Macaca fascicularis: one gene and its partners. The protein of the gene in region 2 purifies or fractionates together with the protein of the main gene of each other region. This does not show direct contact. Links are inferred from orthologs where the notes say so. Each region holds a gene or a part of one and is shown on either strand. Other genes may lie near its edges.

Region 1 (5,910 bases), on a different chromosome or scaffold from region 2:
GTTGCAGTGAGCTGAGATCATGCCACAGCACTCCGGCCTAGGCCACAGAGTGAGACTCCGCCTCAAAAAAAAAAAAAAAAAAAAAGAAAGGAAACAAAAGCAGAAAGTCCCCTAAATAAAGGCTGTCATCATTTTTAATAGATATAACTTGGAAACAGTTAGAAACCAGCTGTTACGTTTTAAATAAGCTTTTGCATTGACATTCATTAATTTCATAGCATAACTTTTCGCTTTTAAGCTTCTTGTTCCTTTAATGTTGTCCTGTTGCAGGAATTCAAGCCACATTTAAAAAATTCAAAAATGTAACATACATTACCTAACTCTGGAGGGAATACAAGACTACCTATATCATTTAACATACCAACAGGTTAAACAAAGGTTTGTATCCTTGGGCCCATTAGTCACAACTTTTCAGATTTCAATTAAAGATGAGCAACTTGAAATAGCAAAAAATCCAATCTCCAAACTGAGCTGAACCAAAACTAACTAGAATAATTCTTCCTAAGATTCTAGTTTGTAGTGACTCAGCTATTAGAATTCACCAAACAATGAAAAAACGGCTTAGAAGCCACTGTGCTCCCACCTGTAAGTTTTAATAACAAAAAAGAGAAAGAAAATCTCGTTTAACTACATAAAACTTTCCTCATGACAACCTTGTTGGTATGTATAAAGTATGCCAGAAATAAATTTTTTTATATCTTAGATATTTAAGAAAAATGTAAACATTATAGAATAAATTTAAGAAATTAAAGGACTCCTAGCGCTTTTATTATTTAGGGCTGCTTATACATACTAATCCTACTTCCAAAAGACTCAGCAAAACTTGAGTCCTGATAAATCTAGCTTTTCAATTAGAAACAAATTACTCAACACATTTGGCCTTCTCTTGCGCCCTCTTCTGGATAAACAAAAAAAACTGTTCCTCTTTAGGTTTGTGAGTAATGGGTTACAAAAGCCTACCTCAACATGTTACAGATAAATTTCAAAAATATTGTAATGTTTTCTTAGTTATTAGCATAATGCATGTCAAAGCAACAGTACTGTGACCAAACCATACACTCGCCCCAAATTGTTTATACTCTGTCAAAACTCCTAATTCCAGTTTCCTCCTCTTTATCCACGTCTTCCGAGATAAGAAATATTTGGAGGAATACCACCTTGAATGGTTTAGGGGCTGCTTCTACATGTAGAGAGAAGTCTTGCAAGAGTATATTTACCTGACCGATGAAATACAATTTTTCAGTCTCAACAGTAATATTGCCTTATGCAGCCATAATACGGTAGTATTTTCTCATCTTTTGAACAAGATCTAACGCTAAAAAAATCTAGTTATGTAGTCCCTAACAGTTTTTAAACTGCTCTAAATCTTTAGGATTAAACACCTAACTCGTGTGTTACGTGTTCACTTCTGTTGCATACCATCGGGTCCCTAACGAACTCCCAAAATGGAAAATCTGACACTCTAATTTCAGTCTTCAAGTTACAATCTGCAATTTAAAAAGCACTTAGTTTTTCTCCAGCTCTCAACAATTCCTTCTATCAAATTTGATACGCTGGGTTTAACATACGCTTTATGCTTCCTTTCTCTTCGATTTATATAGAGCCCTTATTTTTCAAAATATGCGAGGGTTATAAACTTTTAAACTTACTTCTCGTGAAATACTTTCTTACATGACTTTTACCCTCAATTTCTCGTTTGTTAATATTAGTTTGGGGATCAATATCGACTTTAAAATACGAAAAAACACCTTTCTTTTTAACATGGAGAGAAGCCTCATCCGAGGCAAGATGGTAGTAATCTAACCTCATGGATGAGCCACTTGGGTTCACCCTTAAGGACAAGAAAGGGGGTCAAAAAGCTCGCCCTGTTCCTCATCCTAACATTTTAAAAAATCTCTCACCTCAAAGACACTACCCAAGCTCAGAAGGTAAGTGCCGGCTGGGGAGGGGAATGGAACAAGGTTTTTGTTAATTTTTTTTTTTTTTTTTTTTTTTTTTTTTGTAGAAAATGAGCTGCTAGAAGGAAAAGGCCCAAGTGAAAGCCTCAGAGGCGGAGTCGTGAGCGAACCTGGCAGGAGACGAGGTTCCTGTGGCAGAGAAACTCGTGACCGGGGAGCTGGGTTCCCGCTGGGTACCCCACCCGGCCTCAGGCACCGCCTCTACCCAAAATGAATCCCCCCGCCGCCCCCCCAGGCCTCCTGCCCCTAGGAGCGCCGCGGCCGCCGCCGCCGCCCGCGGCCTCCTTCCCCCTCAGCTCCGCTTCGAGGCCGGCTCCCCGCCCCGACTGCCCGCGCCTCCCGCCGCACCCGGGAGCGGGAAACGCGGCCGCTGGCGCGCGGGGCCCTGCGCAGGCCGCTCCCCTCGTGGCCGCTTCCCTCCCCCACCCCAACCGCCCCCGCCCCTCACCCCAGGGACCCGCCCGGGGCCTCGCGCCGCCACCGGGTTACACAACCCCGGCCGGTGACGGGGGAGGGGCGGCCGCGGAGCGGGGGGCGGCGGCGCCCCCGCAGTGCAGGGGGCGAGGCGGCGGCCGGTGGTGATCCCAGGTCACCCAGCTCCGACGCGCCGTGTGGCCCTCGACACCCTTCCCCCCCGCTCCTCAGTGGGCCGGAGTCGGTGACAGGAATCGGCTTCCAACATGGCGGACAGGAAGCGGCCCCGCGAGGAGGAGAGAACATTCCAGCCGCGCCGGCTCTGGGGGGAGCGGGCCCGGGGCACCAGCCTTGGGAGGAGCCGCGGGACAAGACTGCGGGGTCCGGCGCCCAAAAAAGGCGTCTAGTGGTGGAAACGACCCGTGAGATGAGGGGTCCCAACAGCCCCCCCAACAAGATGGGGAGCCCCAAGGCCACAGGTGGGCTTGGGGTGGCGGGTGAGGGGCACTTCCTCAACTCAGCCTACCTACCCACCCCTGGCCGCCTGCAAAAGGGTCTCGCGACACCATCCGAGGCGGGATTCGCTAGGCCTTCCTGAGTTACACCTCGAGGGATTTTTTTGGGGGGTAGGTTTACCCCATCTCAGGGCCCCCATATTGAGGTAACTCCAGGGACGCAGAGAGGTGAATGGAAAAGAATAACGAGGTTGGACTTGCAAGGCCGACCCAGTGGGTCTCCCTTCAGCCGGGGCGGGGGCCGGGAAGGTCACGCTGGCCTGGCTGGGCCTCTCCCATGCTGGAGGGAAGGAGGGCGCTGCAAACCCCATTGCTCAGCCCGAGCCCTAGAATGAAAGGGGCATCCCCAGAGCCGGAGGGCACACACACACACACACATCCCGACCCCGTCCGCGCTTCTCGGATCCAGCCCCACCCCCATCTCCCCTGTCCTCCACCCCCAACCCCCTTCCCCCACCCGTCCTCCCTCCCAGACCTGTTTTCTTCTTCGGCGTTTCCTGGTGCTGCTGGAGGGTGTGTTTCTGCTCATGTTTCAGCGGCTTTGGCTGGGCCTTGGGGCTGCCCTCGGCTCCATGCTGCAGGTATTGGTGAGGCTGCTGGTGATGATGGTGGTGGTGGTGGTTGTGGCTGTGGTTGTAGAAATAATAATGGTGGTGGTGGTGCGGCTGCTGCTGCTGCTGCTGAGGGTGATGGTGCGGATGGTGGTGGCTGTGATGGTGCTGAGGCTGTGGCTGGCCGGGCTTCTCCTCCATTGAAAGCGGCTGGGACTCCCTGGCTGAGGCTGCGGGCTGCTGCACCGTCAGGATCTGAGACTGCTTCTCAGGGCTCACTCAGTATATCTGAGCGCGTCTCGCCAGCGCACTGGTTAACCGAGCGATTCTGCGAGATTGGCAGCCGCGCTCCAACAATCAGGAGCCACGCTGTACCGCAAGCCCCGCCCCCAGCTCAAATCCTCTTTCCTTCCCCTTCGCCGCTGCCGCCTGGCCAACGCCACTTACCCTGTGCAACCTCACAGGGCCGGGCCTTCAACGTCAGCACTATGGCTCTCTCTTCTGTCGCTTTCTCTCCTTCACCACGCAGTCTGCGAACAGCACTTTCTACACTCCTCGCCGGCAAGCAAGCTCATGTCGAGGGTAGCAGATTCCACTGGCGATTCCACTGGCGCTGGGAGCCATCTGTTGGTTTTGCACCTATTAGAATCTGGTGGTTTTTTTGTTTTTTGTTGTTTTTTGTTGTTAATCCTTTTCCGGGTAACCAGAAAGGGAAGCTCAATTCCCTTAACCCTAAGACCACTAAAGGGGCAATACAAAAAGAGGAAATAAATACATTTTTAAGAATACAAGAGCTTCACAATCCAGTAGATCATTTTGTATTCTGGATTCATTTTGCTTTGTATTCATATGCTAATCTCTTCCTTTCCACGAAGGGATTATAGGGTTCCACAATGGGGTATCTGTGTAATTTTCTAAAAGGGCACAAAGGGTTTAAATCATTGTTTCTTTGTAGTTGGAGGCAAGGGGGAGCGGGAGGAATGAAAATCTACACTGAAGGTTGTGGGTTTTTTTTTTTTTTTAATTAAACTGCAGGTGAGGTCAACTATGGCACCAAAATAGGTTTTAGAATATGAAGTTTCAAGAGCAAAGGAAGGGGAGAAAGAGCATTTAAAAGTTATTAAGTGGGATTTTTTTTGCACTTATGGAAAAAATGAAATTTAAAGAAATATTCTGTAGCGTGTTGTAGTGTAGATTTAACTTATCCTGCATTACCACATCACAGTATGATTTTCAAAAGCAAATGTTAGAGCCATGATAGTGCTTACTCAGGAAAAGAGGGTTGTGATGGGGAGGGACACAGGTTACTGATAATATTTCATTTTGGGGGCTAGGTGGTGATTATACATATATTTGGTGGTGATTATTTGTTAAACAATATACAGGTAAAATGTACTTTTCTCAATGTATGTTATAGATTGGGGGATTTTTTAAATTGTAAAATATTCATAATATAAAACTTACCATCTTAATATTAAGTGTACAGTTCAGGAGCATTAGGTACATTCATATTGTTGTAGAACCATGACCATCATCCATCTCCAGAACTTTTTCATCATTCCAAACTGAAACTTCATACCCAATAAAAATACTGTCCTTTCCCTCCTCCTTCTATCCCTTGATAACCACTGTTCTGTTTTCTGTCTCTACTAATTTGACTATTCTAGGTACCTCATTTAAGTGGGATTGTACCGTATTTGTCTTTTTGTGACTAGCGTTTTTGCGTAATGTCTTCAGAGTAGCATATATCAGAATTTCCCTCTTTTTTAAGGCTGACTAATATTCCATTATATGTATATACCACATTTTGTTTATTCACTCAGCAGTGGACATATGGACTGTTTCCTCAATGTATGTTAAATTTTTGAATTTTTTAAATGTGGCTTGAATTCCTACAACAGGACAACATTAAAGGAACAAGAAGCTTAAAAGCAAAAAGTTTATGCTATGAAATTAATGAATGTCAATGCAAAAGCTTATTTAAAACATAACAGCTGGTTTCCAATAACAAATGTCATTGAGTCCTGAAAACCATGACCAAATTTTGGCATGTTCTGTATAGTGAAGATTTGTATTGCCTTGCTAAAATTGTATTTTATTTTATTTCATTTTGAGATGGAGTTTTGCCCTTGTTGCCCAGGCTGGAGTGTAATGATGTGATCTCGGCTCATCGCAACCTCCGCCTCCCGAGTTGAAGCGATTCTCCTGCCTCAGCCTCCCGAGTACCTGGGATTACAGGCACGTGCCACCGTGCCAGGCTAATTTTGTATTTTTAGTAGAGATGGGGTTTCTCCATGTTGGCCAGGCTGGTCTCAAACTCCTGACGTCAGGTGATCTGCCCATCTCAGCCTCCCAAAGTGCTGGGATTACAGACATGAGCCACTGGGCCCAGCCAGCCTTGCTAAATTTTAAAGAAAAACCTCTTTGGGGGTACATTTACCCAATTTTGAGAATGAAAACCCTAATAATAAT
Region 2 (5,736 bases):
ACTTTCAAGATATATACAAGAGTGGACTGATTAGACCCATCAAAATCCATTTCAAGTCCTAAGATCTGGAGATGAAAAATACTGCAGAATTCTAAATTATCCATGGCTTAAAGAAAAAAAATGTATAAATTAAGAACTTCAAATATTATTAGCTGACCCAACTTTAACATCACTGAATATCTTTAGTTATTTTTAAGAATTTATAAAGTATTTAAAAGGCACAATTTAGTAATTGCCTATATAACAAATTAACCATGAAAACAATTATAGCAGTATGATAAATCTGTCCTATGTAAACAGTATGAGTTTTTATATTTTATAGCATTCAGATATGCTAAAAACAAAAAGTTAAGTGTTTCTTTTGTGATTCACATGAACAAATACTTTCTTGTTCTTACAAGTAGATATCTGACAGGATACAAATAATGATAATAGGGTAAGTTCACAGGCAAAAAAAGGAATCTGTTGACACAGAAGATGCTGCAAAGTTTAACTGTGACACATGTGGTAGTGGCAAAGAATCTAATTTGTGTAACAAGACCTGGGTCTGAGTAAGCTCTTTTACCTATTAATTATGTGATCTTTTTGCGCATTATGTAGCTACTCCTAGCTTCAGATTCTTCATATGAAAAAATGAGGACAACAGAACTAATACTGCAGCATAATGAGGAAGATTAAATATTTTTATTCATTCAACAAATATGTTCTGAAAAACTAAATTTGTATTATTGTGTACAAAATTACCCTTTTTAATTTCTTCAAATAAATCAAGCATGTATTAATTTTTAATATTACTAAGAAAATATAAATCTAATTCTTAAGCTCTGGTCCCAAAACTTCTTAGAAGTAAATTTTTATTACTTGAGAAAATCTGAACTTAAGTAATAAGTATTGACACTGAAGACGGGACAATTGAGGGATCACATCTTAAAACTGTTTTGACATAAAATGAATAAAAACAATTCCCTAAATTTTTTCCTATTAAACAAATAAGGACCCAGACTAAGCCCATAAATTGCTGGGTCAATAACCAATCTCAAATACAAAACCTTACCACTTAAAAATACTTATTTTCAGGAAAATGATAATAAATATGAGGTAAATCTGCCCTTGACATAACACGGTGAGATTTTTTTTCATAACACAGTACATGAACCACTTAAAACTTACAAGCTATCAATTACTACAATTGTTCTAATAGGTTTAGGGCCAAACATAAATTTAACTATCATTATAACATGGACTTGGAATCTGTGCTGACCTAACAAAATTTAGCACAGAAAAAAAAAATCACAGATCTGAGCATCTGAAAAACGGTGTCTTTTCTGAAATGTTTGCAAAAAAGTCACAACATCAGGAGCCACAGAAAGTTGTTCTTTCTCCGTCACTCAAAAAATCAAAACATCTCCAACATTATTTATGCTAGGCATAAAATGAAAGTCAGTATTGATATTCACTCACTATACTTCAAATCCTAACCAAGATAATTCAACCTCTATGTTTATTCAATTGCTAGTCTATTCAGTATCAATTGTTGTGGAAGAACTAAGAGGTAGACTAGTGCTGCTTACTAGACTTCATGTAACCTGAAAATGTTTTTAATTATAACAGACTTAGACCAATTCTACTTAGAAATGTACCCTTAAAAGAGGTGAAAGACATTAACTGGCATCTTTTCAGCACAGGTCAGTCTTCCTTAAGAACACAACCTATAACCCTTAGGCCTTACAGTTGAATGTTAACAAGTGAAAAGCAATTTCCTTGGATGTATCCAAGCAATTTTAATATAAATTTCTGCATACCTAGGTAGAAAGTACTTTAGAAATAACTTAAATCTACCTTTTCCCTCACTTGTAAGAAAATGTGGTAGAAGCCTTGAAAAATTAAGTTTAAGGCTCAGGCCTGTAATCCCAGCAATTTAGGAGGCTGAGGCGGGCAGATGACTTGAGGTCAGGAGTTCCAGACCAGCCCGGCCAACATGGTGAAAACCCCGTCTCTACTAAAAATACAAAAATCAGCCAGGCGTGGTGGCGGGCGCCTGTAATCCCACCTACTCCGGAGGGTGAGGCAGGGGAATCGCTTGAATCCGGGAGATGGAGGCTGCAGTGAGCCGAGATTGCGCCACACACTCCAGCCTGGGTGACAAGGCAAGACTCCGTCTCAAAAACAAAACAAAACAAAACAAGAACAAACAAAAATGAAATCAAATTTCTAACTCAGAGAAAAGACTGGTCTTGAACAATTTAGGGACAAATTACTGAAACAGGAGACAAGGCACAAGAAGCTCTATGGCTGGAGATGAACCACCTCTGTGTCTCCTTTAGAAATGCTTCCTGAGGTCCACTTTACGCTAGTTAATGTTGCTTCTTACACTGCATGTTAGTAATTTAAAACGCCTAGCTGGAATAAAAGTTCTCTTTAAACATTACAATTTGTCTCCGCGTTGAAAGTAAGTGTTTGTCTCCAGTTTCATGGGCTATTCTGATATGTCAAGAGTAGTATTATTACTGTTCCAAAAGAGCTCTTGTTTCAATTCACTTTCAACTGGGGCGCGGGCATAACTGATGTTTACAGAACTGATGCTTAGAGATGTTTAGAGAGGCGCATCCCTTACCATTCCATCCTTTATCGATAACCATATTTTGTATGTTTTTGTTGCATTTCAGTTTTTTTTTTTTTAAGACACCTGCACACACACAATTTTCCCACCGCCAGGAGGGAGAAGACCACAGGCTAGGTCTCCAGGGGCTTCAGGGAAACAGACACCGTGAACCCCGCTTGGCCAAAGAGGGGGAGCGCTTCAGGGGCTGGGGGAGGGAGCAGCCCTAAGGTGCTGGGAGTCAGAGGCGGCGCCTGTTTACAGACGCCTTCGCCCTCCCCCACCCCCACAGAGGAGGGGTCCAAAAAGCAGTTCCCGTGCGCACTCCCCGACTGGCCCAGGCCCTGGCAGCACCAGAGGAGCCAGGCAGCCCTTTCGCCCCCTCCCTCTAGTCCGAGCCTCCCTTCGCCCTCCTCTCGGCCTACCTACCCCTACAGGCCCTCCAGGCGGCATGCAGAGGCCTGAGGCCTAAAGGACGCCGGCCACTGACAAGCCCCAGAGCAGCCGGCGGGGGCCCTGAGGAGCCTGGGGCCGGCCGGGCGGCCGCTGCGGCGGGGAGCAGAGGGCGGGCGAGGACAAATCCTTCCCGACCACAGCTGCCTATTGTTCCCGACGGAGGCCCCGGCCGCGGCAGCCCCGCTCCCCAAGTCGCCGCCCGCCGCTCGCTCACCGCGCTGGTCCGAGCAGCAGCTCCTCTCAGCTCCGAGTCCCCGCGGCCGTCGCCACCGCCGCGGCAGCCGCCGCCGCCGCCGCTGCCACCGTTGACTCTGATTCTGTCCCAGGCCGCCGGGCCACGGCTGCCGCCGCCACCGCCAGCACCGCCTCCGGCCTCCCACCTGCTGCTGCTGAGGCTGCTCCTGCAGCAGGGGCCATCTTGTTGGTCTGCCTCCTCTTCCTCCTCCTCGTCCTCCGCCGCCCAGTCGCTCGTTGTCCTCGTCCCCTTCCTCTTCCTCAGGCTCCGGCCCGCCCCGGAGACTGGGGCGGAGACGAGGGCGAGGATCCTCCCTCAGAAGGCGGGGCGGGCGGAGGGGCGGGGCGGGCGCGGGAGCAAAGCTCTGAGTCACCGGCCACCAACGCCCGGGAGGGAGGCCGGCGACGCTCTCCGCCGCGACCCAAAGTCTCACACTCCCTGAGCAGAGGAACCGGTCCCTCCGTCCGGCCTGCCCTCCCGCACCGGCGCCTTTGGGCTCAGCGGGCCAGTGGCCAGATGGCGAGAGTAAATTGGAGGAATTTCTGTCGTTTCCATCGAACCCCGCAATACGTCTACTCTTTTGGCTTTCTCAGCCGTTGTCCCCCAACTCTGGTTTCTTTTTCACGTCTTGTCCCCCACCCCATTTGTCTTCTTCCATATTATCTAGGTTCTGGATCTCATCAGCTTTGTCCTCGTCACCCCTCTTGGAGTTCAGCCTCCTAAGGCTGTGAAACAGCCCAAAGGCCCGGACACGCTACTCCAAAACGTCTCTCCTGGGCTGTGTGAACAATAAGAGCTATTTGGGGACGACAGGAAAAGATGTGGCTCGTCGAAGAGCTCCTGAAATCTAACCTTGCTACTCTTTAAAAGTTTCTTGTCCCTTGTGGAAAAGGTGCCGTTTTGGTTTTGGGGAATGAGAGGTCCCTTCAGACAATTCATTTTAGCCAAACCCTCTTTAGCTTTTGAGAGGGGGAAGAAATGGGATTATCGTAACACCATACAGTACTGATTTCAAAATAAATCATCTAGAAGAGAAGAGAGAGAGAGAGAGTCCCCAAATAAACAACCATTTAATACTCTCTACTCGGCAGCATCACCTTTTTTGCTTCAGGACTTGACCAAGAGAGCAGAGATTATGTTTTTCTGTCCTTTCTTCACTGTTTACATCACAGTACCCCAAGAGAAGCACTTCTGCCTTTAACTTGATACATTGGAATCGCTATCACAGATAGTATTTTTGTATTATTTTAAAGAAATATAACACACCTTCCTAAACTCTTGGCAGAGAAGAATTCTTTTTAGTTGTTAACACCCTCCTGCTCCTGAAATCTCAGCTTCTGTTTAGAAGACCTATTGATGTCTTTCTATTGATTGGAATTTGCTGCCTTTGAACTGGGTTTAATCTGTAATCGTCTTTTCAGCCTACTAAATAGTAACCCTAGTCCTACAGAGAGTGAATTTCTAGCTACCATAGGGGGATTTAGGTTAGCATGTGCCAATCTAAAGGGATCTCTTAAAGCCTTTCCCTCCTCAAACCAGGCCTCTGTACCCTGCTAGGAAAAACAGATTAATCTGCTCCTCCTGCTTTTCCTCCTCCTCCCTTCTTCTCACTCCTAGGGAACCTTCCACAACAGAAGGTTTTAGCGACTGTTGCTAGGCAAACATGCCAACTTCCTTGTTTAGGTGAAGCAAGTAACTCAACTTCCATTACAAGCAACCTAGATAATGTAATTTCTTCCCCCCCACCCCACCCCCCAGACGGAGTCTTACTTTGTAGCCCAGGCTGGAATGCAGTGGGGTGATCCCGGCTTCTCCTCCCAGGTTCATACCATTCTCCTGCCTCAGCCTCCTGAGTAGCTGGAACTACAGGCGCCCACCACCACGCCCAGCTAATTTTTTGTATTTTTAGTAGACATGGGGTTTCACCGTGTTAGCCAGGATGGTCTCGATCTCCTGACCTCGTGATCCACCCGCCTCGGTCTCCCAAAGTGCTGGGATTACAGGCGTGAGCCACCGTGCCCGGCCAACTTCTTTGAACTATTAATAGTTGTACCTCAGTTGGTAAGGCTCCTTAAAAGGTTCCCTTAAGCAATATGATTTTTAAGTTGTTTATTTTTATCTCGTCAAAGTTTCAATTAAAAATACGTTAAAGGTCAGATACAGTGGCTCACGCCTGTAATCTCAACATTTTAGGAGGCTGAGGGGGGCGGATCACCTGAGGTCAGGAGTTCAAGACCAGCCTGACCAACGTGGAGAAACCCCGTCTCTACTAAAAATACAAACATTAGCCAGGGGTGGTGGCGTGCACCTATAGTCCCAGCTACTCAGGAGGCTGAGAAGGGAGAATCACTTGAACCTGGGAGGCGGAGGTTGTAGTGAGCCGAGTTCGCGCCATTGCGCTCCAGTCGGGCAACGAGAGCTAAAAAAAAAAAAAAAAAGTTAAAAA
Region 3 (4,890 bases), on a different chromosome or scaffold from region 2:
GTACTTTGGGAGGCCAAGGTGGGCGGATCACTTGAGCCCAGTTCAAGACCAGCCTGGGCAACACAGCAACAAAACCCCGTCTCTGCAAGAAGTACAAAAACTTAGCCAGGAGTGGTGGTGCATGCCTGCAGTCCTCAGCTACTTGGGAGGCTGAGTAGGATCACCTGGGCCCAGGACTTGGAGGCTGCAGTGAGCCATGACTATGCGACTGCACTCCAGCCTGGATGAGAGACCTTGACTCAAAAAGAAAAAAGGCCGGGTGCTGTGGCTCACACCTGTAATCCCAGCACTTTGGGAGGCCAAGGCGGGTGATCACAATGTCAAGAGATCGAGACCATCCCGGCCAACATAGGGAAAACCCATCTCTACTAAAAATACAAAAAATTAGCTAAGCGTGGTGGCACATGCCTGTAGTCCCAGCTACTCTGGGGGCTGAGGCAGAAGAATGGTGCGAACCCAGGAGGTTGGAGACTCCGTCTCAATAAAAGATAAAGAAAAAAGAAAAACAAAAAAGAGGCCCTCTCTGGGATGCTATTGTATCTGTCCACATCCTCCCCCTTTCTAAACTGCTAGAAAGCAGAAAGCATGTCTTTAACACCACGAGACGAAAATAGCCAAGATTCACACACTACATCCTTTAACCTTCACAGCAGCTCTGGAGATGGCAGAGATTAAATTAGTAGTTAGTTCAAAGGCCAGCCACCCAGTAAATGGATTAGGAAAAAAAAGGTCCAAACTCAGGCATTCAAAGTCCACAGCCCAAGGGTTTTACCCTGTTGGATGCTATTTCCCAAGAACTGGCAGGTCCAGAAACTTTAGCTGAATGAGTAAGTGGGGTTCAGAAGTGCTGGGAGGCTCAGTTGCTAGAAGGCAACCCTGAATCAGCCCCAGAGATAATCCAACTTTTGGGAACACCAAAACATCACTATATCCAATCACAGATGTGATTAGGTTACCAAGTCTAGCCAGGCAATCATAGAGGTACAAACGAGACCATGCACCCAACGTAATATTTATTTCTAAAACCGAGGCAGACCAGATTCCTGCCCTGGACTCTAAGGCCACAGCTGGTATCAAGTTCAGGGAATGACCAGGTTCACCTTCTATACAAACCTCTTCCCCCACCCATCCCTCCCACTGCTGCCTCCATAACAAACGTCTCACCACAATGATTCCTGCTACCTTCTCTGTTTAGAAGATGAAAAAGAATGACTTGAGGGGACTGATCAAGTTACTTAGGATAGGGAATAACTCCAATTCTACACCTGAAGCCCCAGGATCTGTGGCTACTGTTTCTTCACAGAAAATTCCTCTTGCAGTTTACCATTTCTTCCCCTATACCAACGGCTTTTCTGCCTCACTGTTCTTACAGGGGACACAGCACCAACCTCTCCCCAAGGCCTTGCAAATAAAGATGAAGCAATGCGATGACTGAACTAAGTGGCTTTTTTATTAGAGAAAGCCGCAATTACAAAGGACTTAAGAATTGGCATTGGGGCCCTTCTTCTTGCCAAAGGTGGGCACAACGTTGACAAAGCGCCGGTTGTACTGCATCCGGCGCTTAGCCCGACCGGTCTTCTTCTTCTTCTTCTCCTGTTTGGCCACCTGAAGAAGGGAGGGTTAATCAGGCCCTGGTTTCTGTCTTCCACACCTAGCATCCTTTCCCTCAGGCTCATCTCCAGGGAGGGAGAAGGCAAACCGGGTAAGAACCCAGGGACTTGATTTAGCTGTGACAGGAAAAGACAAAGTCCAAACACCATGACCACTAATACTCTCACTCACCTTAGGAGTCTGACCTCTCACTTTCCCAGCACGGGCCAGGGAACCATGGACTTTACCTGTAATGGGAAAGGAAGGAACCAGCAGGTAAGAGCAAGAAGGTGCCACCCAGCAGAACCCCTCTTTCCTCAATTCAAGCCTTTAAAGAGAAGCTGGGCCCAACAGGTAATGAGAACAAAGCTGCAGATATCTGACCTTGAAATCTTAAGTTTCATTTCAGGATTTTCCAGCTTCTAACTTTCTAGAGCACTTTGGGGGCCCCGGTCTGACCTAATTTTAGTGGGGAAGCTGATAACCAGACTCGGATCTCGTGATGTGACTGAAACACAACTACACTCTGGCTCAGTCTCCCATGGACGTCTGTGTTCAACATGAGGGATGTAAACAGGAAGAATCACTCTGAACTGAGGGCAGTGAGAAGTACTCTATTACCATAGGTGTGACACTCAGCTGCCAGGACTATGCACCCCCTACCCACTAGACGCTTACCAGTAGTTCAAAAAACATTCTTCTCTCACTCACCTCCAAGCATGCGGCCTGCTACTTCCAGGGTAGTCAGGGCCTCCACCCCGCACTGGCCCAGAGTGGCCTCATCCTCCAAGGGGGTGCCTGCCAGGAGCACGACTTGATCTTCCGAGGCAATGCCCTCCAGTGAAGCTACATGAGCCTACAGGGAAAGATAAGGCTCGTAAGTGTTCCCTCGGGCCGCGAGGGTGAAGAGCACAAGAAAATGGAACCCAGGGCGCACCAAGCAGCCTTACCTTGATTTGGGCGACCGTTTCCTGGCCGGTCACCTCGAGGGTGTGTAGCTCCTGGGCGCGGACAAAAAGCTGCATGTTGACGACTGAGTAAAGAAATACGGCTTGTAAGAGAAGCGAAGAAATGCTCTGGGATAAAGGAGGTTTGGGAATGGAAAGTGGTCCAGAAACGATAGCGATGGGATGGAGGTGGTCGCGGCGGCTCACGTGGGGAAGGCCAGGCCTCCCGAAGAATTCGGATAGGGACTGGAGCAGGGCCACAGAGCCGGCCTGGTTCTTCAGTTTCCCCCGCGCCCTCTGATCCCGCAGCCAATCTGCTACAAGCCCTTCGGATCCAGCCAAGGCCCTATTCTTACCTGAACCGCGGTCCCAGCTGCCGCTACCGCGAAGATGGAGTCGAGAAAGAGGAAGAAGCGAGGGCGCGTCTGTACTGACCGCGAGCTGCGTATCACGTCACTACTGAGCGACCGCGCGGGTCTCTGATATTTGTACCGCCCAAGGCGACCCTAGCTCCGCCCCTTTACGCTCGCACAGGCGAGCCTGCCAGGGGCAGGCAGCGCGCGCAGGAGGGGGCGGAACCAGACCGTTGCGTGCACAGACGGCTGGCGTACGAGGTCAAGATGGCCGTTACCATGTTCCGGGCTGCGCTTCGGGGATGGAGAACCGGTGTCCAGCGGGGCTGCGGGCTACGGCTGTTGGTGAGAGCGCTGAGCGAGGAGCTGAGGGCATCGCGTGGGTGTGAGGCTCAGTGTTAATCATTGTTAACCCCGAAAACTAAGGCATTCCTACTTGGGGCCTTAGTTTTGTCGTTTTCGATCGGAAGAGCTTGTCTCCCGATCGAGTGTAGATACAGAAACGAGAGAGAAAGTGGTAGACTGCGGTGCTCTTTGGGAGCACTTAACACAGTGCCTGGCAGTGTCTATGTAAGCCAAAACGTTTCAGATAAGGGGCGGGATCCTAGCATGAGTGTGCGTAGGGAATTATGATTGCCTTAATTCTTTTTTTCTTTTTTTTTTTTTTGAGACAGAGTCTCGTTCTGTTGCGCAGGCTGGAGTGCAGTGGCGCGATCTCGGCTTACTGCCAGCTCCGCCTCCCGGGTTCACGCCATCCTCCTGCCTCAACCTCCTGAGTAGCTGGGACTACAGGCGCCCGCCACCACGCTAGGCTAATTTTTTTGTATTTTTAGTAGAGATGGGTTTCACCGTGTTAGCCAGGATGGTCTCGATCTCCTGACCTCGCGATCCGCCCGCCTCGGCCTCCCGAAGTGCTGGGATTACAGGCGTGAGCCACCGCGCCCGGCTGATTGCCTTAATTGTTAAGGCAATCATAAGATTAAACACCACTATATCCAATCACAGATGTGATTAGGTGAGCAAGGCCAGCCAGGCAATCATGAAGGTACAAACAAGGTTACGCTGCCAATGTAATAATAATATCTATTCCTAAAACCGAGGCAGAAAGTTAAGCCTTAAGTTTCTAAAGACTTGATTGACTTTTCAGAAGTCTACACATACTCTTTTGAATCCCACCGAAATCCTAAGAGAGGTAGACCATTCAGAGTATCTGAGCCTCCTTTCCATCCCGTCTGTACCCTGCACCATGGAAAACCAAAGACTGGTGCTATCTTATGTCAACTTAAATAACGGACTCTAAAAGAAAATGATATTTATTCTGAAATGGGTGTATACTATGTGCTTATCAGGGAGGTAAAAGAAGACAAAGGTTTTTAACGGAAAAATGGGCCAGGCACGGTGGCTCACGCCTGTAATCCCAGCACTTTGGGAGGCCAAGGCGGATAGATCACCTGGAGTCAGGAGTTTGAGACTAGCCTGGCCAACATGGTGAAACCCGTCTCTACAAAAAATACAAAAATTAGCCGGGTGTGATGGCGTGTGCCTGTAGTCCCAGCTACTTGGGAGGCTGAGGCAGGAGACTTAACTTGAACTTGGGAGGCGGAGGTTGCAGTGAGCCGAGATCACGCCACTGCACTCCAGCCTAGGTGACAGAGTGAGACTCCGTCCCCCCCCAAAAAAAAAATAAAGGAAAGGAAAAAAGAATATTACATAATTGTATTGAGATAGTTATCCTTGGCTACAAGGATGAATAACAAGGGTGGTGCCAGTTCAAGATTGGACAGGCAGTTGTTGGACAGATGGCCCTGCAGAAATTTTTGTTTGTTTATTTTTGTTTTTTGAGAGAGTCTTGTTGCTCTGTCACCCAGGCTGCAGTGCAGTAGCATGATACCAGTTCACTGCAACCGCTGCCCCCTGTGTTCAAGCAATTCTCCTGCCTCAGCCTCCCAAGTAGCTGGGATTACAGGCATGCACTACCATACCTGGCTAATTTTTTTTTT
Region 4 (5,716 bases), about 140 Mb from region 2:
ATGTTAGGCAAGTGATACATTTTGGCTTTTAAAATACCAAAGAAAATACCAGCAGCCGTTCATAATAACCAAGCAAATCAACACACTCACTAGATATGGCCCCTCACAAAAGTGAGGGCCACACTTTGTTATCCTATCTAATCTGAAAAAACAAAAAAGCAATTAAGACTCATAATTCTATGGAATCACAAATCTGAAAGGAAAATATGGCATTTAGGATTATTAGAGAACATCACCTCAGTTTAAAACAGCCATTTAACCAGAAAGTGTCATCTTTTAGTCTCAACTGCAGGCACACAAAAAGGGCCATCTTCCCCTATTAAACAGTTTAAAAATTTATAGCATGTAAGTGTATATATGTTTGTACACACTCCCACATCTCTAAGTACTTCCAAGTTAGGAAACAGTTACTTATTATGCATGGAGACAGTCCTCTAAAAAATCTGCCCTAACAACTATCTTTATTGTCAAATAATCTTTAAAAACCAAATCCACACACATAAGACCCCTTTTAAGCAGTAGGTAAGAAATAAGAAACTTGTGACACTAAGTGATAGCTGAAGCATTTACTAATTTCCCCCTTTACTGCTTTTCCTGTAATGTTTGAAACCCCACAAAGGCAACCAATTTAAATTACTAGTGCCCTTAAGGATCAATAGATGGATGATTAAATTAATGACTTTAAGATTGTTGGTATGCTCTAATTCCCAATTTCTGACAAAGTCATAAAGCAGCTGAGGAATTGGTTTTACAAGATTTTAAGCTGCTTCACTTTGGTTCGAAGAAAGTAGAACACCATCAGGACACACCCAATTGTTCAATTGCCTGTAACTGGAGCCAAACAGTAACTATCAGTCTCTTCAATAGAATTTTGAAGTTCATTCCCAGCAAATACAAGACAGACTACAAATGTTAGACCTTACACCAAGGTATTTAAATAAATGTCATCAGTAATAAAGCGTACTGGGGTGGAGTTAAGGAGCCAGTCCTTGCAATAATATCCAAGCCACACACACCCAAGTGAACAATAGTTGGCGTCCCCACCCAATATCAATATTAAGCTTACAGAATCTTAGAAACTTAGATTAAACTCACCTAATGAAAAAGACTGACATTTAAAAATGCAAGCTTCTTTTGATATACTTATGTATAACCTGCAAGCTCATTAACTGCACTAGTTTCAGGCATCCATTCTGTTTTAGAAAATGCCTGGTCTACACTCTCAATGACATTCTGCTATCAATTCTCAAGTTCTTCAAATAGGCAAGAGAAGCTACAAAATTAATTCATAAAACATAAACATTAAATATCTGTCTAAAGTATGTCAAGCATTATGTCACAATGTGTTGTCAAAACCACAGAACACAATCAGGTTAACCTTCCTACTATCTGCAGGGATTTTGTTTACAGATATATTCCCAGTAAATAGGACAGTAGAATCTCAAAACGGGTATTGTCCATTCAACACTTTTCTTGTATTTACATGCTTGTATTTTATGCAACTTAATAAGAGTGCTCTGAAATACTGACCTAAGGAAAATGTTGATTGCTAATATGGAATAGTTTTCCCATGGAAAGACTTATTGAATGGTGAACTTAAGTCTTAGTTCTAACTTCATGAAATCATTCCCCACATTTGTCACTTAAAATACTTTTCAGGTAAGAGCTTATTTCTTAGATGGGCTTCATGATCAAAATAACTCAGGCATTTAAACATGCTTCATGTTTTGAACATTCAAAATGAGTGAACACATCTACCTGGTACACACTATTCGTCAGACTCAACTTTTTTGTTTACTTTCTTAAGCTTAAGCATAGTTTAAATAATTACACAAGTCAGCATTACTTAACACACGAATTAAATGATTTATTTAGGTGTGTTAGATTGCCATAAAGCTTAATTGGCTGAAGAGATACTTGGCCTAAGTGATGTACATGCTTTCTAATACTCCAACTGTGTTTCTCCTCAACCTATAATTTTACCACAAGAATTATTTTCTTCATTCACCACCTAGGACCGAGGTTCTTCATTCTAAGCCTCATAAAAGTCCTCAAAAAAAAAAAAAACCACAAAAAACAATAAACCTCCTAAAACAAATCCCACCACGAGGAAATTGTTTTGATTTTCAAAATTAGTTGAATGTCACAGAAGTCAACAAAAGCTAATGAGAACTCCTTTCAGAGAAGCACGTGGCAGGAAGGGGTAATTTCAACTTTCAACATATAAATACAGCTTTAAAGATTCAGACCTTAGGTCCGACACCTGCTTGCTATTGATCATGCACGTTCTTATCTTCGAACTACTTGCTCTTTTTCATCCGTAACAAACTGGTAATGAGAATGCAAAAATCAAGACAATCCTGTGAAACTCACAGTGCCCTGGAAGCAACTATTAACCGCCAGTGAAACTCTGACCATGCTTCACGCACATGTGGAGGGGGAAAAAAAAGCTGCAGACTCTAAAGAGCTCTGCTGCGACTAACGCTGTGACAGCCTCTGCACTCACTTTACCCACGAGGCCCAGAGTCCACCATGTGAAAGACTCAGTTTGGGGAGTCGAGAGAGAGAGGATCGTGACTCGAGGACTTTCCTCGGGACGTCCTGCGATCACCAGTCTTCATTCATAATTCCCGCTTCTGCTTAGTCGAGTGTGGCCAAACTCCTCCATTTCCCAACAGCTCAACTCACCCCAGCAAGTTCTGAGAAAGTCCTAACAGTTGAGAGGTGGAGGAGAAACAATAAAGCACACGCGGCACCCCAACCTGCGGCTGACTCCACACGTCCGATGGCCTGGAACGACCCCCTGCTTTTCGGCGGGGATACTCCGCGCCGTCGTGGGACAAGATGGCAGGACAGGAGCCTGAAACAACAGCACCTCAAAGGAGCAGCTCTGCGCAGTAAGCAGCGATGGACCCCGAGCCCCTCCGTAACTACGGCAAGCGTCGGTGAGCGGCCGGCTTCCCCGCACCTCAGTCCATGCGCTCGCCCGCCAAGGAATCCGGCGGGAAGGCAACAGCCTCCCCGGACCCCGAGCGCGCTCGAGGAGCAGCTCATCTCCGACCACGCTCCTCCGCTCACAACCTAAGGCGGGAAGGGGGTGGCTCCGAGAGCCTCGCCGGCGGTGGCTTGAACTTGGGGCTACCACGCTCCTGGCACCTTCGCAGGACCTGGCTTTTGTCGCGTGAAGAAACGTGAGGAAATAGGCGGCAAAGTCTCCCGCGGACCCTCGGAGCTCCAGAAACAAGTGGTAGCCGGCAGCCCTCTCGCTCCTTCCCTCCATCCCAGTCTCCCCCACATTCTGCCCCTGCTTTACCTTCTTTCTTAAGCGCCACGGGCGGCTGCGTCTCCTCTTTCTTGTCAACCACGCCAACGCTGGGGGGCAGCGGGTTCTTGCGGTCTTTCTGGGACTCCTTGCGCAGCTGTTTGCCTGCCGCGTTGGAGTTGGTCTGGGCCGCGGCCTGAGCTGCGCTCTTGGCCCCGGGGCCCCCAACGCCGCCCCCGCCGGCTTCTTTTTTCTTGTTCTCCGCTGCCTTCAGCACCTCGAAGGGGTCCGATTCGTCGTCAAATAACTGGTCGAATCGGTTGGTGACCACGCAGCCGAAGCCTTCCTGTAAGTGCCCAGGCATGATGGTGGCTCGGCGGCGCGTTCCTCCACGGATTGCAGCGGGCCGCGCCGAGCCAAGAGCGCCTGCTTCAGCTCTTCCCACAAGATGGCCGGGCCGAGAGAGGGGGGCCGTCTTCTCTTCCGGCGCCAGGCACACATCCGGGAGCGGCCAGCGCCGCAAGGCACTGTGGGGTGTGTAGGCCAGAGTAGTTTCTCCTGAGGCGACTCCCTGCGTTGGGACTACAATTCCCAGGATGCACCGCGCGACAACTCTTCGCGCGCGCCCGAGAGGCGGGACCCCAAGAAGGGAGTGAAGCGTGCGAGCTGAAGGAGGGGAAGCGTGGTGGTGGGCGGAGTCCTGCCACCTGCTCTGGTCGCCCTTAAACTCTCTAGGTCTTCAGCTACCCTGAAACCAGAAAAACGTGACGGCGTAGCTGACTCGCGAAAGTGCTCTTTGGTTTCACTCACGCTCCCTCGGGCTCAGGCTAACTTTCCCCACCGCTCCGGGAAGGGTCAAGGTGACTCCCAGACCTTACATCTGAGACGCACAAACTTCCGGGGGAGGGGGTGTTGCTGAGACGCCGCGCCGGCAGCGAGTAGGCTGGACCCTGCCTGTGCCAAGTCCGAGCAGCTCAGTCGCTGGAGTGCCCTTTTGTCAGGCTCCACGGTGAATCGAGGCTCTTCTGTCTAATGTGAGGTGGAATACGTTTCCTCTCGCGGGGACGTGAACTAGGGTAGCAGAACTAACCAAAAAGACAAGTGAAACTATCACATGGGAGTGTGGCGCGTCTTTCCCGGGCTTCTCACCGTGTGGCGGCCGGTGTCGTAGGAGTGGTTAACTCCTGACTGTGCAGCGCTAGACACTGGGCAAGCCGCTAGGAAGCACTGTTTACAGAAACGCTGTTACAGTCATTCCAATTAATTGTCCGTTCGTGTCCGGCAAGTCAGGGCTTAGGTGGCTGTGGTGTTAGTCACATGCGCTCAATAAATACCATTTTAGAGCATTTCGAGTGCGTGTGTGCTAGGAGTTGCGGTGAGGGGTGGGAAATATTGAAGTCAATACTTAATAATAACAAAGCATTGATACTAGTTGAGAATATTAAAGTTCATTAAAAGAATACAGTTTGAATGCATTTTAAGCACATTTGGTAGCACCGTGTTTAAATATATCATAATTTTTAAATCCTTTTCCATTAACACAAAATAGCAAATGCATCTCTGGCAGGAGCTATGAATAACCTTGAACTCAACATTGTGTTACGCAAATAGTTGCCTCTTTTCACAAATGCTGAAACCACTTCAGAGATGAAATGATTTACCAAATTCACACCTCTGTAAGTGCTAGTGACAGGTATTAGCCCAGCCTTCTACCTCCACTAGGAGACCGGACATCAGCTCTTTAATTCAGACTCTGCACTGATAGAAAGCTGTCCAATGTTTAAGTTTCCGATATGATTTAAACATGGTTGTGTGTCAGGGTATGTAACATGGCGGAATGTAATCATCAATTTCCGAGCAGATTTTAAATCAATTCCTTAGCAGGGAAAATAGAAGACACGAGTCATATTACATACATGTGGCAGCAAACCTCCTGGTTTTCTTATTTCTCAATCCTCCCCTACTCTTCAGAGCCACTTACTTCCCTGCTGCCTCAGTCCTACCCACCCCAACCTCAAACACACCCCCTATCTCATCCTCTCTTTCACAGGCTCTGGCTCCGTGGCACCTACCAAGACAAGGAGCTTTTGACCATACTCTTCCCACCTTTTCGAAATAGCTCAAGTGCAATGTAGAAGATCTCCACATTTTGACAGATCCTCTCTCTTCACAGGCTGTTGCATCTTTGAGACTATCTGCATCTTTGAGACATCTGTGAAAGCTCCTCTTCTTACCTCTTTCTGGCCACGGCCACAGTAACGATATTCATAGCCAAAATGTGATGTTTTAGTATGTGCTTGGTGCACTTTACGTATGTGATCTCCTTTAAACCTTACATCAGCTCTATAAGAAAGTTATTACTCCATACCCCCCCCCCAAAAAAAGGTTATTACTTCTGTTTTAAGATGAAGAAAATGAAAACAAAGAGCTTAAGTAAGTTAACTACTCCTGCCA

What was found. Proteins that work in one complex are often made in the same cells at the same time.
Region 1: the proteins of RC3H1 (region 2) and NUFIP2 purify together in Homo sapiens (affinity purification with mass spectrometry; 3 studies listed by BioGRID, with this or other methods). This does not show direct contact. The link is inferred for Macaca fascicularis from reciprocal best matches to the Homo sapiens genes RC3H1 and NUFIP2.
Region 3: the proteins of RC3H1 (region 2) and FAU purify together in Homo sapiens (affinity purification with mass spectrometry; 3 studies listed by BioGRID, with this or other methods). This does not show direct contact. The link is inferred for Macaca fascicularis from reciprocal best matches to the Homo sapiens genes RC3H1 and FAU.
Region 4: the proteins of RC3H1 (region 2) and SERBP1 purify together in Homo sapiens (affinity purification with mass spectrometry, with the first as the bait; 3 studies listed by BioGRID). This does not show direct contact. The link is inferred for Macaca fascicularis from reciprocal best matches to the Homo sapiens genes RC3H1 and SERBP1.

The regions. Positions count from the first base shown.
Region 1 is NC_088390.1:34,778,946-34,784,855, forward strand, and holds the start of NUFIP2 (FMR1-interacting protein NUFIP2), read right to left. Parts: upstream 3,729-5,910; 5' UTR 3,640-3,728; coding exon 3,363-3,639; intron 1-3,362. UniProt on the Homo sapiens protein: Binds RNA.
Region 2 is NC_088375.1:31,616,545-31,622,280, forward strand, and holds the start of RC3H1 (roquin-1), read right to left. Parts: upstream 3,124-5,736; 5' UTR 3,029-3,123; intron 300-3,028; coding exon of another isoform or gene 275-299; intron 1-274. Other genes in the region: uncharacterized protein, read left to right, coding at 275-299, 3,124-4,013. UniProt on the Homo sapiens protein: Post-transcriptional repressor of mRNAs containing a conserved stem loop motif, called constitutive decay element (CDE), which is often located in the 3'-UTR, as in HMGXB3, ICOS, IER3, NFKBID, NFKBIZ, PPP1R10, TNF, TNFRSF4 and in many more mRNAs.
Region 3 is NC_088388.1:9,247,035-9,251,924, reverse strand, and holds FAU (ubiquitin-like FUBI-ribosomal protein eS30 fusion protein), read right to left. Parts: upstream 2,945-4,890; 5' UTR 2,894-2,944; intron 2,624-2,893; 5' UTR 2,616-2,623; coding exon 2,541-2,615; intron 2,447-2,540; coding exon 2,302-2,446; intron 1,839-2,301; coding exon 1,783-1,838; intron 1,606-1,782; coding exon 1,480-1,605; 3' UTR 1,429-1,479; downstream 1-1,428. Other genes in the region: MRPL49 (large ribosomal subunit protein mL49), read left to right, coding at 3,158-3,235.
Region 4 is NC_088375.1:167,245,259-167,250,974, reverse strand, and holds the start of SERBP1 (SERPINE1 mRNA-binding protein 1), read right to left. Parts: upstream 3,729-5,716; 5' UTR 3,627-3,728; coding exon 3,314-3,626; intron 1-3,313. UniProt on the Homo sapiens protein: Ribosome-binding protein that promotes ribosome hibernation, a process during which ribosomes are stabilized in an inactive state and preserved from proteasomal degradation.